Linked DNA regions of Caenorhabditis elegans. The protein of the gene in region 3 binds, or shares a complex with, the protein of the main gene of each other region. Each region holds a gene or a part of one and is shown on either strand. Other genes may lie near its edges. The genes, in order: leo-1, ctr-9, rtfo-1 and pafo-1.

What was found.
Region 1: rtfo-1 (region 3) and leo-1 share a complex: the UniProt entries of both Caenorhabditis elegans proteins name them as parts of the PAF1 complex.
Region 2: rtfo-1 (region 3) and ctr-9 share a complex: the UniProt entries of both Caenorhabditis elegans proteins name them as parts of the PAF1 complex.
Region 4: rtfo-1 (region 3) and pafo-1 share a complex: the UniProt entries of both Caenorhabditis elegans proteins name them as parts of the PAF1 complex.

The regions. Positions count from the first base shown.
Region 1 is NC_003282.8:11,326,753-11,331,529, forward strand, and holds leo-1 (RNA polymerase-associated protein LEO1), read right to left. Parts: upstream 2,618-4,777; coding exon 2,562-2,617; intron 2,515-2,561; coding exon 2,118-2,514; intron 2,071-2,117; coding exon 1,897-2,070; intron 1,850-1,896; coding exon 1,755-1,849; intron 1,707-1,754; coding exon 1,607-1,706; intron 1,555-1,606; coding exon 1,224-1,554; intron 1,154-1,223; coding exon 1,014-1,153; 3' UTR 869-1,013; downstream 1-868. Other genes in the region: his-45 (Histone H3), read left to right, coding at 1-246; B0035.21 (Kinesin motor domain-containing protein), read left to right, coding at 604-707, 754-817; sart-3 (Spliceosome associated factor 3, U4/U6 recycling protein), read right to left, coding at 3,012-3,127, 3,180-3,474, 3,524-3,637, 3,695-4,032, 4,080-4,681, 4,741-4,777. UniProt on the Caenorhabditis elegans protein: Component of the PAF1 complex which is a multifunctional complex involved in transcription initiation via genetic interactions with TATA-binding proteins, elongation and transcription-coupled histone modification.
Region 2 is NC_003281.10:9,490,024-9,498,139, reverse strand, and holds ctr-9 (RNA polymerase-associated protein CTR9), read right to left. Parts: upstream 6,501-8,116; 5' UTR 6,483-6,500; coding exon 6,411-6,482; intron 6,250-6,410; coding exon of another isoform or gene 5,701-6,249; exon of another isoform or gene 5,622-5,700; intron 5,589-5,621; coding exon 4,638-5,588; intron 4,295-4,637; coding exon 3,353-4,294; intron 3,207-3,352; coding exon 1,967-3,206; intron 1,921-1,966; coding exon 1,768-1,920; intron 1,364-1,767; coding exon 1,269-1,363; 3' UTR 1,096-1,268; downstream 1-1,095. Other genes in the region: sod-4 (Superoxide dismutase [Cu-Zn]), read left to right, coding at 819-964; dars-1 (Aspartate--tRNA ligase, cytoplasmic), read left to right, coding at 6,931-7,026, 7,184-7,336, 7,383-8,116. UniProt on the Caenorhabditis elegans protein: Component of the PAF1 complex which is a multifunctional complex involved in transcription initiation via genetic interactions with TATA-binding proteins, elongation and transcription-coupled histone modification.
Region 3 is NC_003283.11:9,579,042-9,584,723, reverse strand, and holds rtfo-1 (RNA polymerase-associated protein RTF1 homolog), read left to right. Parts: upstream 1-2,079; 5' UTR 2,080-2,096; coding exon 2,097-2,251; intron 2,252-2,305; coding exon 2,306-2,672; intron 2,673-2,716; coding exon 2,717-3,185; intron 3,186-3,240; coding exon 3,241-3,807; intron 3,808-3,857; coding exon 3,858-4,050; intron 4,051-4,095; coding exon 4,096-4,186; 3' UTR 4,187-4,683; downstream 4,684-5,682. Other genes in the region: F25B3.2 (CTCK domain-containing protein), read right to left, coding at 4,778-4,849, 4,909-5,003. UniProt on the Caenorhabditis elegans protein: Component of the PAF1 complex which is a multifunctional complex involved in transcription initiation via genetic interactions with TATA-binding proteins, elongation and transcription-coupled histone modification.
Region 4 is NC_003283.11:11,519,267-11,523,967, reverse strand, and holds pafo-1 (RNA polymerase II-associated factor 1 homolog), read right to left. Parts: upstream 2,266-4,701; 5' UTR 2,203-2,265; coding exon 2,162-2,202; intron 2,111-2,161; coding exon 2,009-2,110; intron 1,960-2,008; coding exon 1,833-1,959; intron 1,779-1,832; coding exon 1,518-1,778; intron 1,466-1,517; coding exon 856-1,465; intron 800-855; coding exon 663-799; 3' UTR 584-662; downstream 1-583. Other genes in the region: C55A6.11 (uncharacterized protein), read right to left, coding at 2,434-2,541, 2,587-3,012, 3,250-3,336; C55A6.7 (DeHydrogenases, Short chain), read left to right, coding at 3,535-3,663, 3,811-4,335, 4,383-4,484. UniProt on the Caenorhabditis elegans protein: Component of the PAF1 complex which is a multifunctional complex involved in transcription initiation via genetic interactions with TATA-binding proteins, elongation and transcription-coupled histone modification.

The DNA.
Region 1 (4,777 bases), on a different chromosome or scaffold from region 3:
CAGAAATCAACCGAACTTCTAATCCGCAGAGCACCATTCCAGCGCCTTGTTCGTGAGATTGCTCAGGATTTCAAGACCGATCTTCGATTCCAATCTTCCGCTGTCATGGCTCTTCAGGAGGCTGCCGAGGCTTACCTTGTCGGACTCTTCGAGGACACCAACTTGTGTGCCATCCACGCTAAGCGAGTCACCATCATGCCAAAGGATATCCAATTGGCCAGACGCATCCGAGGAGAGCGCGCTTAAATACCTTTTTTGGTAGTTGAGCAAGCTTAATCTCAAAACTTAACCGAACCCAACGGCCCTCTTTAGGGCCACAAATATCCTCAAATCCATTTTAATATTCAATGAATACTTTTTTCAATTTCAATTTTTTTAAATTTTAAATCTTTCGGACATAGTGGTTCCGTGTATATTATAATATGATTGATTCAAAGATTTGTTGTTAGATGTAAAAATTTATTAGTCAGTTTCTTTATCAAACGTGAAAAATCATTTCCTACATTTTCCACAAAGATGTTTAAAATACTCTGGAATCAAAAGTCAAAACCTATAGTTTTTCGAATTTTAATTTATGGAATCTTCTTTCAAATCATTATATTGATGTTTTTACTGCGATCGAGAAGCTCTGGAAATCAAGAAGAAGCTCAGTTGATATTAAATGTATCGATTTCCCCAAGAGCAATGGAAAACGATAAAACACGGAGGTTTGATTTTGAGAATTCTGAAATCGTAGATTATTTCAAGTTTCAGAATTTATGATACGACACTTGATGCCAATTCTTTGAGAAGCGAGGAAGACGTAGTGGATGTATGATTTTAAATATTACATACAATCTGATTGAAATTAAGAAATAAAAGCTCGGTTTTTCATAATATTGTGGATGTTTCATTATCTCGAAATATCGAAGACTAAAATAAATAAGGAAAGGAAAACATTTTCGAAATATTGTAAAGGGAGAAATATTGAATTCGCGAAATATAAAATTGTGAGGATCAAAATTGAAATAAATTTAGTCAGATTCTTCGTCACTGGTGACAATCTGTTTCTTTTGTTGTTGTTTTCTCTTTCGGTACTCTTCATCAGAATCGCTATCCGATCCGCTTTTCTTTGTGGTATCCGCATGATCGTCCTCACTTTCTGAGCTGGCACCTGAAATATATTATTGTAGTACAGTTTCTTTATTCTGGTAAAGTCCTAATCAAAATTAAATTGAACTTACCAATAATTGGTGCTTCCTTCTTCTTTCCTTTTCTGGATGACGTTGGCATATCTTCATCATCAGAATATTGTCCTGCATATCTCGGACCACGAACTTTAAAGTTATTCCGAACCATCTGAGTACGTCGGATGTGTGCACGAAGTGATTCTTCCTCCTTCCGGGCATTCTCACGCCGTGTAATTTCCGGATTCTGACCAACATCGTCCATGACTTTAACTTGAGCATTCTTCCTGCTTCGATCTGCCATATTGAGTGTGACTTTTCTGTGAGTTTGGGAATCAGTCGAGTGAGGACGGAAGGTCATACGATGTGTAAGAACAGCTTGAGCCGACTAAAAATGACATAAATTTTGATTAAAATAAAAACATTAACAATCAAAATACCATTAATGTTGGCTGCTTAACGTAAAGATGGGGAAGATTATTGGAATTCAGCGGCACCAATGAGACTTCGAAAATTTCGTTTCCGAGGTATAGAGACATTCTGAAATTAAGTCACGATATGGAAATTTTGCATCAATTGAAAACTAACGTTCCATCGTCCCATTTTACAATTTTTGCATTACTCTCTCGAATTTCTTTTCCATTTTCATCTTTGCGAACTCGCCAGCGAAGTGTATTTTCCACCTTAAAAATTGTATATTTGATGAGATGTATTTATAACACAGACATACTCTCAATTTGAGACGTGTTCGTCCTTCATCATCCAATTTCGCCTGCTCATCATCTTCGTCTTCCTCGTAATGTTGTGGATCAAATGGATGAGTGGCGACTGATAGAAAGTTTGGCATTCTGACAAAATGTGGTGGATCTGCAGCGTACTCCAAAGTAACACGACCTGTTACCATCTGGAAAATCAATGTTTTAATCACATTATTTCATTGAAAATGTTTACTTCAGTATCATGAACATGCTCCTTTGCTTTTTCATCTTCATCTATTTCATCTGGATTAGCCATCACAATTCCTTGCAAATCATTCAAACTTCCACGACTCTCCGCATCGGAATCTGACAATCGTGCTCTTGTATTTGATTCTTTCGGCTTTCCTTCTCTGTCGGAATCATCGTCGGAAGAGCCAGAGAGATCACCGAACAAACCACCACCAGCACCGGGGGAACTCTTTTCACCTCCTCCTCTCGGATGAATGTTATCGTCAGAAGAATCGGACAATTGTCGAGGAGCAGGACGAGAATCATCATCATCGTCGGACTCATTTAATATCGCTCTTTTCTTAGACGGTTCTTGTTTTTTTGGTGAATCTGGCGACGATCCACGAGAAGATGGAGTTGATCTGAATTGAATTATATTATTTTAGAAACACAATTACCATTTACTTACGATTTAACTGGTGTTCCTGGTGCAGAAGCGTCAGAATTACCCTCAGAAGATGACATCTGAATTGAAAATATTGCATACCTAAGTTCTTTGAATAGCGAAAGTAGCAAAACAAAGTAATAATTTGGGGTCGAATATACCGATAAAAATTGAATAATAAAAGTAGTTGTTGAAAATTCAGATTTTCTTATCCATAGGCAATAAGTTGAAAATGAATATTGGGGGATCTCTATTACAAATTATTAGCAAACAAAAAGAAAACAAGGATTATGAACAGTTATGAAACTAAATCTTGCAATTCGTAGTGAAGAACAAATATAATTATAGCGAGAACATCAAAAATAGCATCTACCGGAATTTTAATTGGAAAGGAGACACTGGGGAACGTAATAGAAATTAAATAACTAAATGAATCTTGATATGAACAATGAAAGTTTCTGGTGAAAAACGGCCCTAATTTTTCATAAACATTTTACGGAATTGATCATTTGAAAGTGGCTGAGACGTTGAAGTGCCTTCGGAAACATCCATTGCGTCCAGCCGAGCAGTGATTTGAGGAGTTTTGTTTGCTGAAAATGGATTTTTTTATGCTAAGCTGGGAACTAAAGATGATATACTTACTAATAGCTCTGGGAACCAATTGCAGTTTTGCAGCATGTCCTTTTCTAGGTCCATCTTCTTCCAAACTTGCTCCAATTGCTGCTGGTTTTCCATGCGATTTATCCTTTTTTACTGGTGGATTGGATAACGCTACCTCTAGTTCTCTTTCTCGAAGCATCAATTTATCACCAGAAGCAACACATTTTTGAGCACTTGCTTCTGTGTCAAAATCTACGAATGCGATTCCTTTTGGTTTTCCATCTTTATGAGTCACGCGTCGAACACTGGTTACTGTACCGAATTTCGAGAATAATGCCTGAAATGTATCGATTTAGAATATAAAATGATAGATAAGTATATATTACCTTTAACTCATCGTCGGTTGCCTGGAAGTGGACATTGCGAACGAAGACTTTCGATTTTTCAAGAGTGGTTGAGAATTTGAATCCAACCCGTTTTTCTGGATCGTTGGCGGAGATCTGAATTTTCAGAAATTAAAATTTCACAAATATTTATAAAGTAAAATTAAAACTTACAAACATTGGCCTTCCCTTCACAGGAACTCGATCTTTCAAGAGAGCTTGCTGTGCCTTCTGATCATTCTCCATTACAACATAGGCGAACCCTCTGTGCACAAGATCCGAATTCGCTTTTCTTGCGAATCGAATTGAAGCAACACCTTCAATGGCTTGTCGAATTTCGTCTTCCGTCGTAGTGAAATCGAGATTAGAAACAAAAATTGTGCGAGCATCTTCCGTTCCTGGAGCTGCTTTCTGAACTGCAAAGGAACCTGGAGCTGGTGTCGACGAAGCATTTGAAGAGGATACAGCTGATGAACTTTTCGCATTGGATGGTGGAAGTGGAGCTTTGAATCCTAAAATTTAATTCAAATTAACTTCTTTACTTTTAAAAATTATTTACCTCCGTCGTCTCCTTTCACTTTTTTTACAATTGGTTCACCTCCCGACGTTCTCTTCTGAATATGATCTTGCTTTGATTTAGGAGCTGGAGCTGGTTTCTCAGAAACTTTCTTTTGTGGTCGAATGGCTCGATGAGCAACCTGTGAATTCACTTTCTCAAGAACCAAATCCAACTCAGCCAATGTTCCTTCTTCTCTTTCAAATTGAACATAGTACATATAGATTTCGTTGATGTTATCCGATACAGAATTGAGAGCTTTGTTTAGATATTTTCGAGCATTTTCTTTATCACCGAATTGTCGCTCAAGACGAACAGCTTCAATCCATTTTCCGGCAAATCTTCCGAATCCTGATGCAAGAATATCATTCCAGATATTTCGACATTTGTCCATGTTCTTCATTAATGAAGCATAGAAATATGCTTGCATTTGTCGATAATCTGCTGTAGTATCCCAAGCCATTGAAAACCATTCTCTGAGTAGCGCTGCACCTTCATCAAACACTTCAGCCATTGGAGAGTAATCCGAAGAACCAGTGAGATGAATTCGACGGCGAAGCAAAAAAGCATAGGTACGGTAAAGACTCCGTCCTTCTTCGGCAGAACTGAAATTACACCGAATAAATATATAAGACTACTGTATGTATTCAAAAAAGAAACTAACTTGATAACATTGCTTCTTGCTCGTTCCCATAATGCAT
Region 2 (8,116 bases), on a different chromosome or scaffold from region 3:
AAAACTGTATTATGGGGACGTAGAATAAATGAATACGTAAAAGCGCTCTACACGGTGAACTGAAAACGCTCCGCCCCTAAACGTTGAGCCTCGTTATGTTTTGGCGGCAAAACCAGAAATTCAAACGTTTTCAATTATTTTTGCAGATATCACTCGCTTGTAATCATTTTTCCTATTTTTAACATGTTTTCCGTAGTTTCTTTATTTTTAAATTGATAAAACGAAATTCAGAATTTTGCCGTCGAATACCTAACGAGACCCAACGTTTATGGGCTGCGTCCTTATAATAAAATTTAAATGAATTTTCCTCCTAAAAATTGTCCAATGCATGCTTCTCAATGCTTTCCGGTATTAACCTCGACGCGAAATTTTGAGATTTTTGTTCCACGGTCTCGACACGCCTTTTTCAAAACCAAAATGAATTTTCATGAATTTTTCATATTTTATCGTTATGGGGTTATTCAAGTAATGTAGAAAAATGTATTTAAATACATTTGTGACGTCACAAATGTATAAAAATACATGTTTTTATACAGTTGTGACGTAATTTTTCTACACTTTTCAACTTTCCGACACTACTTGAATAACTCCATTATGGAAGCTTAAATTTAAAAAAAAACGTAAATTTAACCAAATCGTGAGAAAAACTCACAACAACGAAAATTTCAAATTACAGTGCTTTTTGAAGACCCCAGTTTGTATTTGACAAAACTTTGTCGTGTCGAGACCGGGTACCGTATTTTTGCGTCAAAAATTGCAATTGTTGTGTAATATGCTTCACTTATCTTCAAAACCCCAATAAACGTTAAATTATTCAGGAATTGTGGAAGAACGTATTTTGGAAACAACGACAGCATCCCTTCCTCCAGTTACACAATCTCAACCAATTGGATCTTCTTCTTATTATTATTCTACATTTTATCTTCCAATTATTTTATATTTCTTGCTATCTCGTATTCTTTAATTCGTCCTATTGTTTCATGCTTTCTTTGCTCCCTCCTTCTAGTCCTAAATGCCCTCGCTCCTCACGAAAACTGGTCTCAAATTGTAATCGAAAACTCTGCGACTAACGAAAACGAACTCACAGGTACCATTATTTGTTTGATAAATGAATTCATGTCAAAGATTGAAAGTCTTGGACTCGGTGATTAAAAACGGGAGAATGTATTGTGAGAACGAGCACAAGATGCTAGATTTACAAAGAGTACAAATAAAACATTTGTGAACAACAAAAATAAATAAAAACTTTAAATTTAAAAAAAATTGGTTCAGTCGCTGTCGCTCTCGATAACCTTCTTTTTCGGAGCATCACTTCCATCACTGTCCCTGGAGTTTCCACCAGCAGGTTTATCATCATCATCATCTGAAAATTTCAACATTTTGTATACGATTTTCCGAAAATTTGAAAAAATTTCATTTGTGCGATAATAGTCTAAATTTTAGTACAATTTTGAAATGGTTTGTAATTTTCCTTTAAAAAATTTGTAAGTGTTTTTTTTTCTTTTTTTTTTGCGATTTCAGGTATTTCGAAAAAATGTTTAAAATTTAATATTTTCAAATGTTCCAAACATTGTTTGAAGTTTTTTCCGATTATCACTGAATAAAAACTGAATAAAACTAAAAATCGAAAAATTTTCGTTTTTTGATTAATATTTTTCAAAATAAAAATATTAGTATTTTTTTCGATTTTGAGATATTTGAAATAATCAGGTATTTTCAGAAGGCGACATCCTCGGTTGTCGTTTTTTTTTTCAAATCTATGATTACCATCAGAACCTCCAATAATTGGCTTATCATCATTATCCGATCCAGAGCCAGATCCGGAGACTGATCCTTCATCAGAATCCACAACAGCCTTCTTCTTTTTCTTTTTTGTAGTTGTCTCACGATCACTATCACTGTCAGTTCGGGTTGGACTATCTGCAAAAAATGGAATTTTTTGAAAATCAGAAATCAATAAACTAACCAAACTCATCAACTGGCGGCCGCGGATCAACCTCATCATCCGATGAATCAGCAGCAGGCTTTGGTTTGTCATCATCAGAAGATTCCGATGAAGATAAGAATGCACGAGATTTTATCTTTGCTGATTGTTTTGCTGAGAGCTTCTCCTGTAGTTTTCGATCCCTCTCTTCCTTCCTCTTTCTCTTTTTCTCATCTCTTCTGTTCGAATCAGGTCCACCACTATCTCTACGTTCTCTCTTCTTCCTGGATGCCTTCTTTGCTGCCTTATCCTTCTTCCTTCGTTCTCTTCGTTCACCATCTTCACCTCCTTCCTCTCCATCATAATTTCCAGCATCAGAACTATCATTAACAAACTCATCACCATCATCATTTCGTCGTTTCCGTCCACCACCTCCTCTTCTCTTTTCTTCGACAATTTCTGGAAGTCTGAGAACATCTTTTGTCATTTCTATGAATGATAATCTAAGATTCTTCATATCTTCGAGCTTCTGTTTTTCAGCTTCTTCCTTAGCACGAGCTTCCTCAATCATCTTGTTCTGCAATGCTATCTTCTCTTTCTCTTGCTTCTCCATAAGACGACGTTCTTCTTCATCTTGAGTCTGTGCAGCTGCTAATTTATGCTTTGCTTGAGTTAACAAATCCTTGCAATTTTTAGCTTCTTCTGCGCAGATTGTTCTCGATATTCGCATTCCAGTATGGCTCGATTGACGATCATCATTTTTAGAGATGTATTGGAAAATTTTGTCGGCGAATTTGAGATCATCTATAGCCGCAGTCACTTGTTCTGATGTCATTTTGTGACCTCGAAGTACTTCTTTTGCAGATTTCTTCAATACAATAGCATAGTTAAATTTCAATTGGGTATTATCCAATTGATCAAGCATTGCACATTCAAGTGCTTCCTTGGCTTCATTCAACATATTTGCTCGGTAATAGGCCTTTGCAAGATAGTGTTGCAATGTCGAGTCATTCTCCTTTCGAAATTTTTTCATCGCAGACGAATACATCTGAACAGCAGCCATCCATTGCTCTCGTTCCATGCAAACGTGAGCTATATTGAGCCAGACATCGTAGAATTCACTGGTAGACTCGCGAACTTGACTGAAAACATCTCGAGCATCATTCCAGTTTCTTTTATAAGCAAGCACACATCCGATTCCATTTGCAGCATACATGTTTTTTGGTTGAAGTTTCAATGCTTTTTGATACATTTGGAGAGCTCGGTCAATGTACTTTTTCTCCTGAAACAAAATATTATTAAATTGTTTGAAAATAAAAATTAAATATATTGTTCATTCTTTAATAGTTAAGTACAAAATGGTATCGATTATAAAATTTAATATGAATAAATTTCAGAATGCAAGTGATAAAGCAATAAAAAACCTACATCTTCCTTTTTCCTTGATGGATTGAGAAGCTGCTCGAACCACACATTACCAAGAGCTACCAGCGAGTATGGATCAGGAATTTTGTTGTTGAAAATCTTCGACAAAATGAATTCAAACTTCTTCTGGGCAGGCATCCATTCATTCTTTGCAAAATGAAGATTTCCAATAAGAGTCCAAACAATTGGTGATGCTTGATCAAATTGAACGCCTTGTTTCAACCACAAAGACGATTCATAGACTTGATGACGATCACGAGTGATACATCCAAGACGAAGATATCCATCAATATATCCAGGACATTCTTTCACAATATCCTTGTACATTTGTTCGGCTTCAACAGTACGACAAAGATGCTCCAAGCACAGAGCCAAATTGTAACGAATTGTGAGAAGGTGCGATTTTTCAGGAGCACTTCTACGTTCTAAAAGTAGAGACCCTTCATCAGTATTCAATTGTTCTTCAAGACGTTCTTTAGCTCTTTTGAAGTGATGTTCAGCTTTTTCATATTGCTTCATTGACATATACAAAGCACCGACGTTGTTGAGCATTTCGGGTTGTGGTTGAATACTCTCATTTGTTACAAGCAAGTCGATTGCATTTTCATACAATTCCAGAGATCGTTTTGGATCTGTTGCTTCGAGAAGTTGAGCCAAGTCGATGCATGCTTCATAGTCATCATTTTCAACTGCCAGATATTTTCCAAGAACATCCCGTCCCTTTTGCCGTGCTTCTGCTGTTTGTGCCGGATCGTTTAGCTGAACATGAGCATATAGACTTCCAAGAATTTTCATCGTGTCTGTATTGTTTGGCAATCGTTTATGAACAGTATCGAAGCATTTGATTGCTTCTTCAATTTCATTTCGATGAATGTACATTTGACCAAGTCCATAGTGAGCAAGGGTGTGCTCTCCATTGTTTGCTTGTCGAGCTTGGTAGTAGTACTGAAAGTAGGATTTTACACGTATAATATTCCAAAATGGCCAAAACACAAAAATTTTAGGTAGATTTTTGAATATTTTCAGTCGAAGCTTTCGTAAATTGGAAAAATATGAAACTTAAAAAAAAAGGACTTTTTGAGAATTTAGAGCAATGTCTTTCGAGACACGAAATAAGAAAATTTCAAAATTCTAGAATATTTCCGTGCATTTTTTCTGAAGCTTTTTTTAACATAAAAATCATTTGATTTTTCGATTGCTTTCAGGATTCAATGACAAAATTCCGGGGTTTCTTTCGAGTTTTTAATTTTATATTTTTAGTTTATGATTTGAAAACTCAAAAACAAACCTTATAAGCACCGTCAAATTGCCCTTGTGCATGCCTGCATCTTCCCATTTGATAGAAAGCTTCAGCTTTTATCGAATCACAATCATTATACGTTGCTGCATGCCAGGCAAGTGTCCATGCACGCTCAATTTCTTTTTTGAAAAAGAAATGATTAGCAAGATGAATAAGAGCAACTGGATGATCAGTTTGTAAATTATAAGATCTTCCAAACAAACTGACTGCGTGTTTGAGGCTGTCATGGTCGTACGTGTTCAACAGAATAATTCCCAAACCACACATGGCCGATACATTATATGGTTCAATTTCCATGGCTCTTTCGAATGCCGTTTTCGCTTTGTCCATCATTCCCATTTTAGCGAAGCAGTGACCGATTCCGACTCGAAGATCTGCGATTGTGTGACGACATTGTCGAATTGCTTTTCGAAAGTAATAGATTGCAGTTTTATAATCCTTTTTATTGAATGCGATTACAGCTTTTCCAATCAACGGGAGCACATTCTTCGGATTGGTTTTAACGACATAATTGAATTGTTGATCAGCAAGTTCATACTTGTTTGTACTTTTATCTCGTTCAAAAAGATAAAACCAAGCACGAACTGTCAAGTGAGACCATTCATACATCGCAATTTTATCGGCTGTGTTGAAAAGAACTGTAGCTTTCGAGAAGAAATCACTTTTCTTGTCCTTGGCCTTCTCTCTGTAACCTTGAGTCATCCAGTAGGCAGCAAGTATATCCAATGCTCTCATTTGATCCTGTTTTACTCCTTCATACTCCAATCCAGCACGAGATCCAGCAGATTCTAGAATCATCATGAATAGATCAACACGATCTTGTCTGTAATATTCGAGAGCAACTTCAATCCAATACGATAACTTTGCTTCTTCTGCTTCCAAAATTTGAAGGACTTCTTCGCCATCGGGGAGCTCGGAGCAGTTGATTTCAATTACTTCCTGAATAAGTTTTTCATTATTTGATTCAGAAAATTAATTTTTCAAGATTTTATTTCACGAACAAACATAAAAAACGTTTTTTTTAAACAATATAATATTTAATAAAAATCGATCATTGTGCTTCGGAGGCCACTAATGCGAATAATTTGGAAAGAAGGGCGACATCAACAAATGGTTCATGTTTAAATGTGAGAAGGACAAGAGTAAATACGTCCCGGCTGTCATTTTGAGCGAAATCGAAGAGCACGTCTTGCTTCACTTTCAATTCTTTCTTAAGCATTGTAATTATTAACGGCAAATTCTCGTCAAGGGTCTCCACAATGTACTTTTCTTCAATATTTTGACTTTTTTCGGTCAATTGCTTCCAAGCTGACATTCGTCCTTGTGCAACTTCGAATTTTCCAATAACTTTCTCAAAATCACTCATAGTTTGATTCAGTTTTGAATTCATAACAACAATCTCATTGAGAACACGATCAGATTGATCTTTTGTTAGTTTTGCAGACTCCTCTACATCAACTTCTCGCGAATATAGCAGTTTCAGACGTGAATTAACTAATGATTCCAAATATTGGACTGATTTTTCAGAAGCTGTCGCCCAGTTTTGCATTAAATTCCAGACTTCGATTGAGAAACGGCGGAGACGTTTTAAGTGCGTACCCTGAAATTCAAAAATATCGATAAATCAAGTCGGTTGGCTGAAATAAATTCGAAATTTGAAAGTCCTACCGACATGATGAATCAATATTCCCAAATTTCCTCACTAAGAAACAACAACGATCGATTTTTGAAATTATGAACACTTTTGAAACAAAAACTTACATCTTCGTGACTGTCTTTCAATGGAATAGCGATTGTTCTGGTCTCTTGCACATCATCAATACTTTCGTCCATCTCCTTGGACTTTCTGACCTGTAAAAAACACAAATTAGATCTTTCTTGACAAATATTCAAGTAATAGTACCCAAGATTGGGAATTTTAAAGATTAAACGTGGTAGTAGACTTTCCAAGCGCTGATGCAGAATAAATCATGGATTTATGATAAACTCACTTTAATTCTTACAAAAAGAATAAGCAAATGAATAAAATATAAAGATTAAATAACGTTTAACTTTGAAATTCAAGAAGAAATTGAGAAAAACAGGATGCAAAAAATATCTTTTCGAACGAGGCGCGATGCGCGTGAAGTGTAACGCATTGTACGCAGAGAGCACAAACATCAGAACTGACGCGCATACACACTTCATCATTTTCAGCCCAAATTGTAAACAAATTCCTTATTTTCAAGCTAAAATTTAATTTTTCATTGGTTTTATAGATGCTAATTTGTTTCAGGTGATAATGGCTGATGCTGCCGAAGGTGAACAACCAAAACTCTCCAAGAAGGAGCTCAATAAGCTTGCTAGAAAAGCTAAGAAAGATGAGAAAGCTGGAGAGGTGAGATTTTGTTAACTATGCTCGTTAAAATAGGGTTTAGTCTAAATTTATAGAGTTATTGAAAATTCTGTTGAGCTATTTATTTTTAAAGTAAATAATTTTCTATAACCTCAAATGCTATTTTGAAATATTTCGCAACTAAGCAATATAAATTCAGAAAGGAGGAAACCAACAACAGGCTGCCGCTATGGACCAAGAAGACGCATCCAAAGACTTTTATGGATCATATGGGCTTGTTAACTCTAAGGAAAAGAAGGTGTTGAACTTTCTGAAAGTCAAGGAGATCAACGTTTCCAACGCAACAAAAGACGTGAGTTTTAACAGAGGATATGCTCATCTTATTCACATTTTTGTAGGTTTGGGTCCGTGGGCGCATTCACACTACTCGATCGAAGGGAAAGAATTGCTTCCTCGTTCTCCGTCAGGGAGTCTACACCGTTCAAGTAGCAATGTTTATGAACGAAAAGATTAGCAAGCAAATGTTGAAGTTTGTTTCTTCTATCTCAAAGGAGTCTATTGTTGACGTTTATGCTACTATCAACAAGGTTGACAATCCAATTGAATCTTGCACACAAAAGGATGTCGAACTACTTGCTCAACAAGTATTTGTCGTTTCAACTTCTGCTCCAAAGCTTCCGCTCCAAATTGAGGATGCATCACGCAGAGCACCAACTGACGAAGAGAAAGCCAGCGAGCAGGAGAATCAATTGGCTGTTGTTAATCTCGATACAAGACTTGACAACCGTGTCATCGATCTTCGTACGCCAACCTCTCATGCTATCTTCAGAATTCAAGCCGGAATTTGTAATCAGTTCAGAAACATTCTCGATGTTAGAGGATTCGTGGAGATCATGGCTCCAAAAATTATCTCTGCGCCAAGTGAGGGTGGAGCCAATGTTTTCGAAGTTTCCTATTTCAAAGGATCCGCCTACTTGGCTCAATCTCCACAACTCTATAAGCAAATGGCTATTGCCGGAGATTTTGAAAAGGTCTACACTATTGGTCCAGTATTCCGTGCTGAAGATTCTAACACCCATCGTCATATGACCGAGTTCGTTGGACTTGACTTGGAAATGGCCTTCAACTTCCA
Region 3 (5,682 bases):
ACTCAATAAAAAATAATGTGTGTCTCTAAGAGATTCAGAGAAACATTCCTCTTGTGACGTGGCACTTCAAGCATTGAACAGAGTCATATCTTTTACTTACTCCAAGAAATTTTCAAGTTATCAAATCAGTTGAATGACTGTCTAAGTCTCTTTAATTTCAGTAATGTCTAGTACTAATCATTCGAGGTGTGGCATGATTGATTTGTTTCTTTTTATTTCATTTTGGTGATGAAGAGAAGAAAGAAAATAAATTAAAATCACCTAAAATTGAAGTCAAGTAGTAATCTTCCAATCGGCTGGCAGGTAGATGAGTAATCATGATGAGTTCTAATAAAGTAGTGAACGTTGCAGGCTCATAGCCATTTCAAATATTCAAATTTTCAATATTCATTCAGAATGCGTGATGAGAGGTACGTCGTCACGCAATACAATTGCCGGTTTTGTGAGAAGGAAGAGAGATCGATTAGAATGAAAGTGATATAGAGAGGAGAAACCACTTGGCTGGATAAACATGTACTTGATGGTTAGAACTGTCGGAAAAGCAAAATGGATTGTGTTCGAGAAAATATGAACATTTGGAAAGTTTTGAGTTCTGAAGCTTTAAAAGAATAATAAGATAAAATACGTTCACAAAGTCTTTTGAAATTTTATACGGGCAACTCGGACTGAAAAAGTTAGACAATCAATGTGAAATCGGGTTTTTTACAGAAAGTCTCTATATTTAGCGTTAAATTAAAATTGAATGTTACTAATGTGAACATTTGTTGAATTGGACATCAAGATTTTGTTTCGCAATTATTTACCGTAATCTTGAAGGCGCATATACAAATATATAGAGGGCCGTAAATTGATACGAGCTACAGTAACTCGTTGTCCGAGTGGCGAGACCCCTGCGAGTAAAGTATAACCAACATTAAAATATCTAAACGTCTGCGTTATACGGAATTTTTTATGTATTAAACACAAATGAGTCTCTCTTAAAAACTCGTAGAAAGAAAACATGCAGTATTTCAATAATCAGATAACTTACCAAAATTAAACTCTGCCTCAGCTGCTCCTCCATTGTGTCGATGGGATTCGAACCGCAAATTCTTCATTTTCTTCGAAAACTTCGCTTACTACTTCTACTAATTGTCGAATGGCAACAGGAAACACGAAAAGAAAGATTATCCTTTATTTCTGATTCTCTGTATCTCCAGGTCTACCTAAACACTTTAATAGAACAACTGTTCACTAAAGAGCATTTGATCTTTCTTTTTTCGTTTTTTCTTCTCTTACATCGTTTAACCTGGAAAAGGGGTTGTATTTCCGTAAGCCATCTACCCTTGTCTCTTCTTATGTTTTTTTCTTGATTAATGGTTTTTGAGAATACTGTGAGAGCATAAGAGATTTGAAAAACCTATAAGAACACTTCGGATTCCCACAGGATGGGCACTAAAGAATTAGTTTTTCTAAACTTCAGAAAATGGGAGTGTCTCTCAATTTCCTTATCGATTATAAAAGTGTTTGGTATTTATATATAAATCCATTAAATATACATAGCTTGCACCATGACCTACAGCAACAGAAGCCAATATCCCAATTGTGTGCGACAACCTTGCAAAATAGCGTGCGCGGCTTGCAAAGTGGGCGGGACTAAATGTATTGACACTGTGCAGTTTGAATGTAAAAATTTATTCTTAATTTTCGGTATTTTCTTTGGTTTTTCGTTATTATAATTGATTTTTAATGATTCTTTATTATTATCTTAATTCAAAGAGTAGAAAAACTTTATTGCACCCGTCCTTTTTGTTTCTCGAATCCAATATTGACACATTTTTTGAGAAACTTAAGTTTTTTCTTAATTTTTCGAATATTTTCGACAAAAACGCGCATATATCATTAAAAATATGACACTTTTCCTTGTTTCTTTTATTTGTTTAAATATTTGTATGAAACCTATTGTTCGTAGCCATCTTGCAACTGTGTGTCGATATCGATTTTCCCAGAACAAATGTCAGACGCTCTACATCACTTTTATACAACCGTTTCTTCTCACCGTTCTCTAATAATTTATTCAATTCATAATTATGTTCTCAGGGTCAGTTTAATCAACAATGTCTTCCTCTGAGAGTGCTTCATCAGACGAAGAGACAAAACGCCGTGCTCCAGCCACTTCAGATTCCGATTCTGACTCAGACGCAGGTCCAAAACCTGGAAAACCTCTCAGTACCGACTCCTCGGCATCCGATTCAGATGCCGAAAAACCACAGTGAGTTTTACTGTTTTCTATCCAAAAAAAAGTTATACGAGTTTCCATTTTCAGGGCAAAGCCTGCAAAAAAGAAGACTTTAACAAAGCGAAAGCGGCGAGCTACTGGAAGTAGTGACGATGACCAAGTAGATGATGATTTATTTGCTGACAAAGAAGACAAAGCAAGATGGAAGAAATTGACAGAATTGGAAAAGGAGCAAGAAATTTTTGAAAGGATGGAGGCTCGTGAAAACGCGATTGCTCGAGAAGAAATTGCTCAACAACTTGCTAAAAAAGCAAAGAAAAGTTCTGAAAAGGGAGTCAAAACCGAAAAACGAAGGAAAATGAACAGTGGTGGAAGTGATGCAGGTTCCCCGAAACGCAAAGCTTCATCGGATTCCGATTCTGAGATGGATGCTGCTTTCCACCGACCCAGTGATGTAAGTTTATTTTTTTATTTTTCAAATAAAAATTTTTATTCCAGATTAACCGCAAACATAAAGAGAAGAATGCTATGGATGCTCTGAAGAACAAACGTAAAGAGATCGAAAAGAAAAATGCAAAAAACGAAGCACTCTCTATCGATGCTGTTTTTGGAGCTAATTCGGGATCTTCAAGTTCGTCTAGTTCAAGCGAAAGCTCTCGTTCATCATCTTCTTCCCGCGAATCATCACCAGAACGTGTATCCGAAAAAGATAAGATAGTAAAGAAAGATGTTGATGGACTTTCGGAACTTCGAAGAGCTCGATTGTCCCGTCATAAACTTTCATTGATGATTCATGCCCCATTCTTTGATTCTACTGTCGTAGGATGCTATGTTCGACTTGGACAAGGGCAAATGAGTGGCTCAGGAAGCAAATATCGGATATGGAAGATTGTCGGTGTGGAGGAATCCAACAAAGTCTACGAATTGGAAGGAAAAAAGACAAATAAAATCATAAAATGTCAGAATGGTGAGTTGTTTATTTACTTGTGAAAATTTGAAATCTGTTACAACCTTAACTGCAGGTGGATCAGAACGACCATTCCGTATGCAATTCGTTTCAAATGCTGATTTCGAACAAATTGAGTTTGATGAATGGCTTCTGGCATGTAAGAGACACGGAAATCTTCCAACCGTCGATATTATGGATAAGAAAAAACAAGATATCGAAAAAGCAATCAACCACAAGTATTCGGACAAAGAAGTCGATCTGATGATCAAGGAAAAGAGCAAATATCAAACAGTTCCACGAAATTTCGCTATGACAAAAGCTAATTGGTCCAAGCAAAAAGAGCTGGCTCAACAACGAGGTGACATTCGAGAAGCCGAACAAATTCAAACTAAAATCGATGAGATTGAACGACAAGCTGATGAATTGGAGAAAGAGCGAAGCAAGTCAATTAGTGCGATTGCGTTCATTAACCATAGGAATCGATCAAAAATAAAGGACCAAGTCCTGAGTGGGCAATTGAAGATCGAAGAGAATTCACAGGATGATCCTTTTACACGTAAGAAGGGAGGTATGCGTGTTGTTTCTGGATCTAAATCAAGACTTGACGGAACTCTTTCCGCATCTTCATCAACCACAAATTGTAAGTTAATAGGAAATATCAATTTTTTGACATAACTTTATAATTTTCAGTATCTGACGGCGGAAAAGACAAAAGTTCATCATTGGCTAAACCGACGCAACCTCCTCCATCTACTCAAATAAAGAAAAAAACTGATATATCCAGTCTGCATGACTTTGATCTAGACATCGATTTGGGTAAATTGAAGGATTTTAGTACGCCGGAATCGTCAGGAAACAAACGTCCATCAATTAGTTCTTCCAAGTTAGCACATCTTATAGTGGACTATTTTAATTGCTATATTTTCAGAGGAGTGTCACTTAGTGATTATCGAATGCGTCGATCAGGAGGTGGTGACGCTGGATCCTCCACATCAGCTGCACCATCCTCAGCAGTTTGAACTGTCTTTTTCTACATCTCTTTGATTTTCTCAGCGTTACCCCCCTCATCCCTCATCGTTACGTTTTACTTATTTTCTTTCGTTTTATAAACTGATCAAAACTTGTTCAATTCCTTCATTATACTATTCCGTTCATTTTTTCCAATTTTTGAGAACACATTTTTTTAGCTTTTAATTTCGTCAGAATAAAATAAATCGTAATAAAGATAGCAATTGCAGAATGCAAGAAATGGAACATTTTATGAATCCTTCACCGTTTGTTTTAGATCTTTCCCACTCACTGATACTCCTCACCAATCCCAAACCTTTAATTTTAAATTTTCTATGTGATTCTATTGATTTTCACCCTCATTCATCTTTTCATGTTTTATTCCTTTTTTGATTCCTTGTGACTACTGTATTCCTAGGTTAACGGATGTAAACCAAAAATCTGTGTGAATTTTTTGAAACTTTTCTAATAATTTTTCGTGCAATTAATGAATAAACTCAAAGTTCTTTTCACGTTTTTATTCCATCTTTCAGGATTAGAAACCCGGTATACAGAAATGGTTTGGAATGTGAACGAAGAATTGTAATTTAACATCTTAAGCGCTACAGCTCTTTACTCGGCTTGGCTCGAAGAAATGAGCTTTTGCTCAGTGAGCATTGACAGGCAACAGGGAGCTGGAAAGGAAGGGATTAGATTATTTCGAGATTAATACAATAAGAGAAATAAGACAAACCTGGATTTGTTCAACAATCCAATCCTCACAATTATCATCCCCTGTGTTTCGTAGAACTTTGAATGAGAGGGTCTGAATGCCACATTGACCATGAGCTGGAAATATATTTCAATCACAAATTACATGTAATCAACGGACCCCTCAGTTGAAAAACGTAGAACGCTCTCATTACGTAAACGTCCAAATTGATCATTTTCGCCATACAATACGTACATGGGTCTCGCCACGCAGACATTGACATACAGTAGCTCGTGTCGATTTACGGGGCCTACATTGTCTCATGTTTTAAATATTAGACGAACAATTGCGCCAAGACTTTTTAATATGCAAATATGAGGCAATAGCGGATCATACGTCGGCACGAGCTACAGTATCTCCTTGCACTCGTGGCGAGGTCTCCCCAATCGGGCATCGTGTTACTGTAACTCTTGCTCATTTATCTTTTAGAAATACGGGTCTCCATTGCATAATATTTTTTATTGAAAAATCTTGTCAGCGATTTTGCTTTTAATTTGAAAAAAATACGATGCAGTAGCGGGAAATGAACACGAATTACACGTGGTGTCAGATTGTCCCATTACGTTTTAATCTACAAAAAATGCGGGAATTTTTGCCGCAAAAAAAGTGATGTCAGCCCGTTCTTAACAATGCGAAAATAGTTGAGAAGTCTGCGACTAAATTCCCGCAATTCTCGTAGATCTACGTAGATCAAACCAACATGGGACAGGCTGACACCACGTGGCCACGTGGGATTACAGTAACTCGTTGTCAGCG
Region 4 (4,701 bases), 1.9 Mb from region 3:
TACAGTAATTCTTGAAATGACTACTGTAGTGCTTGTGTCGATTTACGGGCTGGAATTTTGAAATGAATTTCTTTTGGAATACAGTGCTTTTTTTACAACTTCTACGACTTTAAAGGCGCGCGCATTTTCGCGCAATGGTCTCGCCACGCGCATCCCTTTGATTTGTTGAGCGCGTGGCGAGACCAATGACGGGACCATTTTGTATAAATACGCGCGCCTTTAAAGTCGTAGAAGTGGAAAAAAAATGCACTGTAGTTTCGAAAATCTATTGCTACAGTAGTCATTTAAAGAATTACTGTAGTTTTCGCTACGGGATATATTCAATGTTTCGCAATACGCATTCCAATCAGAACGGTAGTTCGAATTTCCCCCAAAACTAAACGTCTTGCCCTCTGATCCTGTTGCTTCCGCATGACAAATCAAAGAATAGAACGTGGAGCACATAAGCGCAAGCAACAGACACCTACACAAACAGAACTTTGCGGGTGTTGGTGTTTCCGCTGTTGGTTTTTTCTTCAATTGTGAGTCAAATCATACTTGCACTTTTAGCGAAGATTCATGAAGATCAATCGAACAAATAGTTGAAATCGTTATCAAGTTTACTGAGAAAAACCAATTTGATTAGGTAAAATAAATAGAAAAACAATTTTAAAAATTTGAGATCAATCACTGTCGCTGTCAACAGTCGGTTCCTTTTTCCGTGGTGAATCGTCATCTGATGAAACGTCCGAAGAGCTATCAGATCGTGATTTCTGCGGCTTGTCGTCATCAGAATCACTGCTCTGATCTGAACTGTCTCCTGAAAAATTGCATGTTCGCGTGGAAAATAACACTTCAAAACTTAAATTTACTCACCACCTTCTTCTTTCTTCTCTTGAATCTTTTCCAGAATCTCTTGTTTTCTGGTCTTTGGCTGTTCGTATAACTCAGCCTCTCTTTTATTCATGTCTTTTTGTTCCAGTTCGGAAGGATTTCGGTATGTGAGTGTCAATTTGGATTTTCTGCTCAATGCCATTTTTGGTTTTCTTGTCATCTTGACATTACAGTCAACTTCGTTGTACTGGAAAACGTTATTACGATGATACATAATGAAGACGTCACGATCCCTTGGTGGCAAGTGTTCCATTTTAAATGTGTATTCACGGCTTAGCAAGAATTCGTACTTCATATCCTCATCAAATGGTCGTTCTAACTCAAGATCATCCATAAAACTCGTAAGACATCCAATCGTTGGAACAAAAACTGCTGCAAATTTTTGATCTTCGAATTCCATGGCTTTAATAACACTGCTCTCCCGTGCTTGTTGTCGTTCATCTTCTTCTTCGAATTCTGTTGTTATAGTGTCTCCATCAAATTGTACATGAGCAAAGAGGTGTTTCCAGTGATCGAAATCAGGGAAGACAAAGCTTTCTTCAACAGCTTTTACACCCTTCTTGGAGTAATGCTCCTTGACGGGTTTACGAACCTAAAATACGCAAAAGTAGATTTAAATCAAAAAAATATATTCTGGTACTTACATCTTCAAATGTCTTGTTAATGGCATCAATTTGACTCTGCTTGTCACGATACATATCTTCAACTTGTTGATTTTTCTTCAAGTTATAACCAAGCTTCGTCTCCTGTCTATCGGCTGTCACACCGAACCGATTGAATTCAGTTGAAATGTACTCGGTTTTTCTCATCCATGGAACAAGTTTAGAATGCTGTTGAGATCGTTTTGCAATCAATTTAGCGGCGCCATCATCTTCCAGTAAAATATTGTCTTTCTCATCAATTTCCTAAAAGTGAAACATTTCTATCTTTGAAACTGTATATTTCAGGAAAAAACCTACAGTTTCGATTGGATCTTCGTCGTATTTTTTTAGATCAATCAAATCGACATTCAAACCCATGTCGTCGTCACAAATGACTGCATGCTTGTAATCTCGATAAATGGCAGCAGGTTGGAATTCGACAAATCTAAATTCAGAGATATTGAACAATGTCAAACGTTTCAAAATTGGTGTACCTTCCCAGAGGAACAAATGGACAAGTCATAAACTTTGCATCAAATGGGACATCAGGAACAGTATTGGTAAATCGAGGTTTCAGCATGAAATCCACTTTTCGTCTGCAAAATGTTTTCAAAACTTTTCTAGCGATTCAAAACAATAATACTTACGGAGGTTCAATCCTTTTGGCATCTGAGGATTCTTGGGGCATTTTTTATAGTAATTTAGTTATAATATTAAGATACCAATCGGCAGAAACGGCTGCAAATCGAAAAAACTAGTCACCGAGGGAATTAAATTCAAACTCTCACACACGGGTTTTGCGCAAGCGCTCAATGCGCGTCAGCAGGGAACAATGGCGCATAACCAGTTTTGCGCGGGTGTTCAAAAAGTATTTTTTGTTTTGTGAATTTCCAGCGTTCTCGTCACGATAATATTTATTTTATGACAAAATGCCATCATTAACATGATAATATTGTAAAAGGGACAATAATGTAAATATAAAGGTGACAATGAATGGTCCAGCAATGTAGAGAGCCAATGCTCCTTTCTGGAAAATTATATAAATGTGGGGTTGTGAACTTTTAAAGCCTACATTATCATGATCATCGTGCATTCCGATACTTTCACGCTGAACAAAGCTAACAGTATTCTCCATTTCAGCATTTAGCTCTTCACTACTTCCAAAGAAAACATCCCACAGCCAAGATCCGAACATTTTTTCCGAATTCCTTTCACAGCAGAGTGTACCATAATAAACTCGATGCTGGTATGTATGAACACATCGTCCCACTTTTTTCTTGTCACATAACTTCATGAATGTTTCCTCGGTTAGATTGAATGGCTTGAGAATTTCCTTCGAAGCACAACCAGAGGCAAATAGAAATGCGTGTTGCTCATTTCGAACGATTTCAGTGAGCATAATTTGTTGAAAGCATGTCTTGAAACCGGAAGTGCAGTTTTTGTACATGAAAGTTCGAAGTTCTTTGTGTCGAGTTCGGGATAAAATTGGGCAGGATACCTTGAATGAAATAATATTTTTACAATTTTCTAGAAAGATCTTATTTTGAAATTGCTCATAACCTACAAAAACATAACAATAGCAAAACAAATTGCGCCTAGTTTTTTGTCTATCTTTTTTTGTCTATCGTTTCTCTTTCATTAAAAATATTTGAAAGAAAATTTCCCAGGGACAACTGGAAAAGCTCAGGAATAGAACCAAGGAAAGTCCTTTATAACATCTCCTGTGTAAACCTACATTCACATTTTCCCCGTTCGCAACCAACACTTGATTGAAGAGCAAAACTGTATTAACCAAAATCGAAATTATCATAGTTTTCTTCATTGTCTAATTCTTTGATCTCTTCTCAGAAATTCCGAAATAAACTAAAAACTGCAATAAACCAAACTAATTATTGTGGCAGTTCATCACGCTGTTTATTTTGCAGAACAGAAGAGAAATACTATTGATAAGAAATAATAATCATCATTCATTGATTTTCGATTTCTGTTAATTCAATTCTATGCTTAAATTCTAGTGAAAATGTCTCCAAAATCAGTTGTGGTAACCGGATCCAATCGAGGATTGGGATTTGGATTAGTTCAACAATTTCTGAAAGATCCAAATGTTCAGCATGTCATTGCGACTGCAAGAGATGTTGATAAGGCAACTGTAAGTTTTTTCGAGTTTATTTATACTTTATCCGTTGCTGAGATTATAGTTATTTGTATTAGGTTTGTGTTCCTAATATTTGTATATGGTAAAAATTTCCCAACAACATGTATTGGACTACGGCATTCTTAATTTCCAATTTTTCAGGCTCTCAAGGGAATTTGTGATCCACGACTTCACATTCTTCAACTCTCACTCGGATCCGATGAATCAATTGCAAATTTTGCTGAAAAAGTGTCTGAAATTGTTGGAGAATCTGGATTAACTCTTCTTATAAATAATGCAGCTGTGATGCTTCCATATGTAACAAAACAAAAACCTGATCGAAAAGTTGTTCTGGATTTGTTTGAGTCAAATACAATTGGTCCAATGATGCTTACACAAAGCCTTGTACCACTCATAATCAAAGCTTCGAAACGACAGGAAGGCGATACACTTTCCGTTTCTCGTGGTGCAATCATTAATATTGCATCCGAATTTCTTGGTTCAATTTCTGAAAATACCAGTGGTTCTGGTGAATATAAAGCAATGGCATATCGAATGACGAAGTGTGCGGTGAATCAGTTTACAAAAACTCTCTCAATTGATCTAAAAGATGATCATATTTTAACAGCTGGAATTTGTCCAGGAATGGTTCAAACTGATATGAGTAAAGGGAAAGGACAACTTACTGTAAGATCATGCTTTTGAATTTCATAGTTATAATTGTTCCTTTTCAGATTGAGGAATCTTCCTCACAAATATTGGCGGCATTCAACAAACTAGGAGCAACACACAATGGCGGATATTTCCGAAGAGATCTTTCAATTATTCCGTATTAAAGTTTTCAGCCCTTTTTTATCCATTTAATGATTGTTGTACGACTGATTTACTTTCACTGTGTTCTTCTTGGTTTTATTTAAATCTGTATTGTTTATGTGTTGTATCAAACTTCTTAGAAACTTCTTTCTGATAAAGTATTGAAATAGAATTAACATTGAAGTAAACAATCAGATATGGGGACCTAAAAGATCAAGATGCAAAAATTTCAAAATTTGG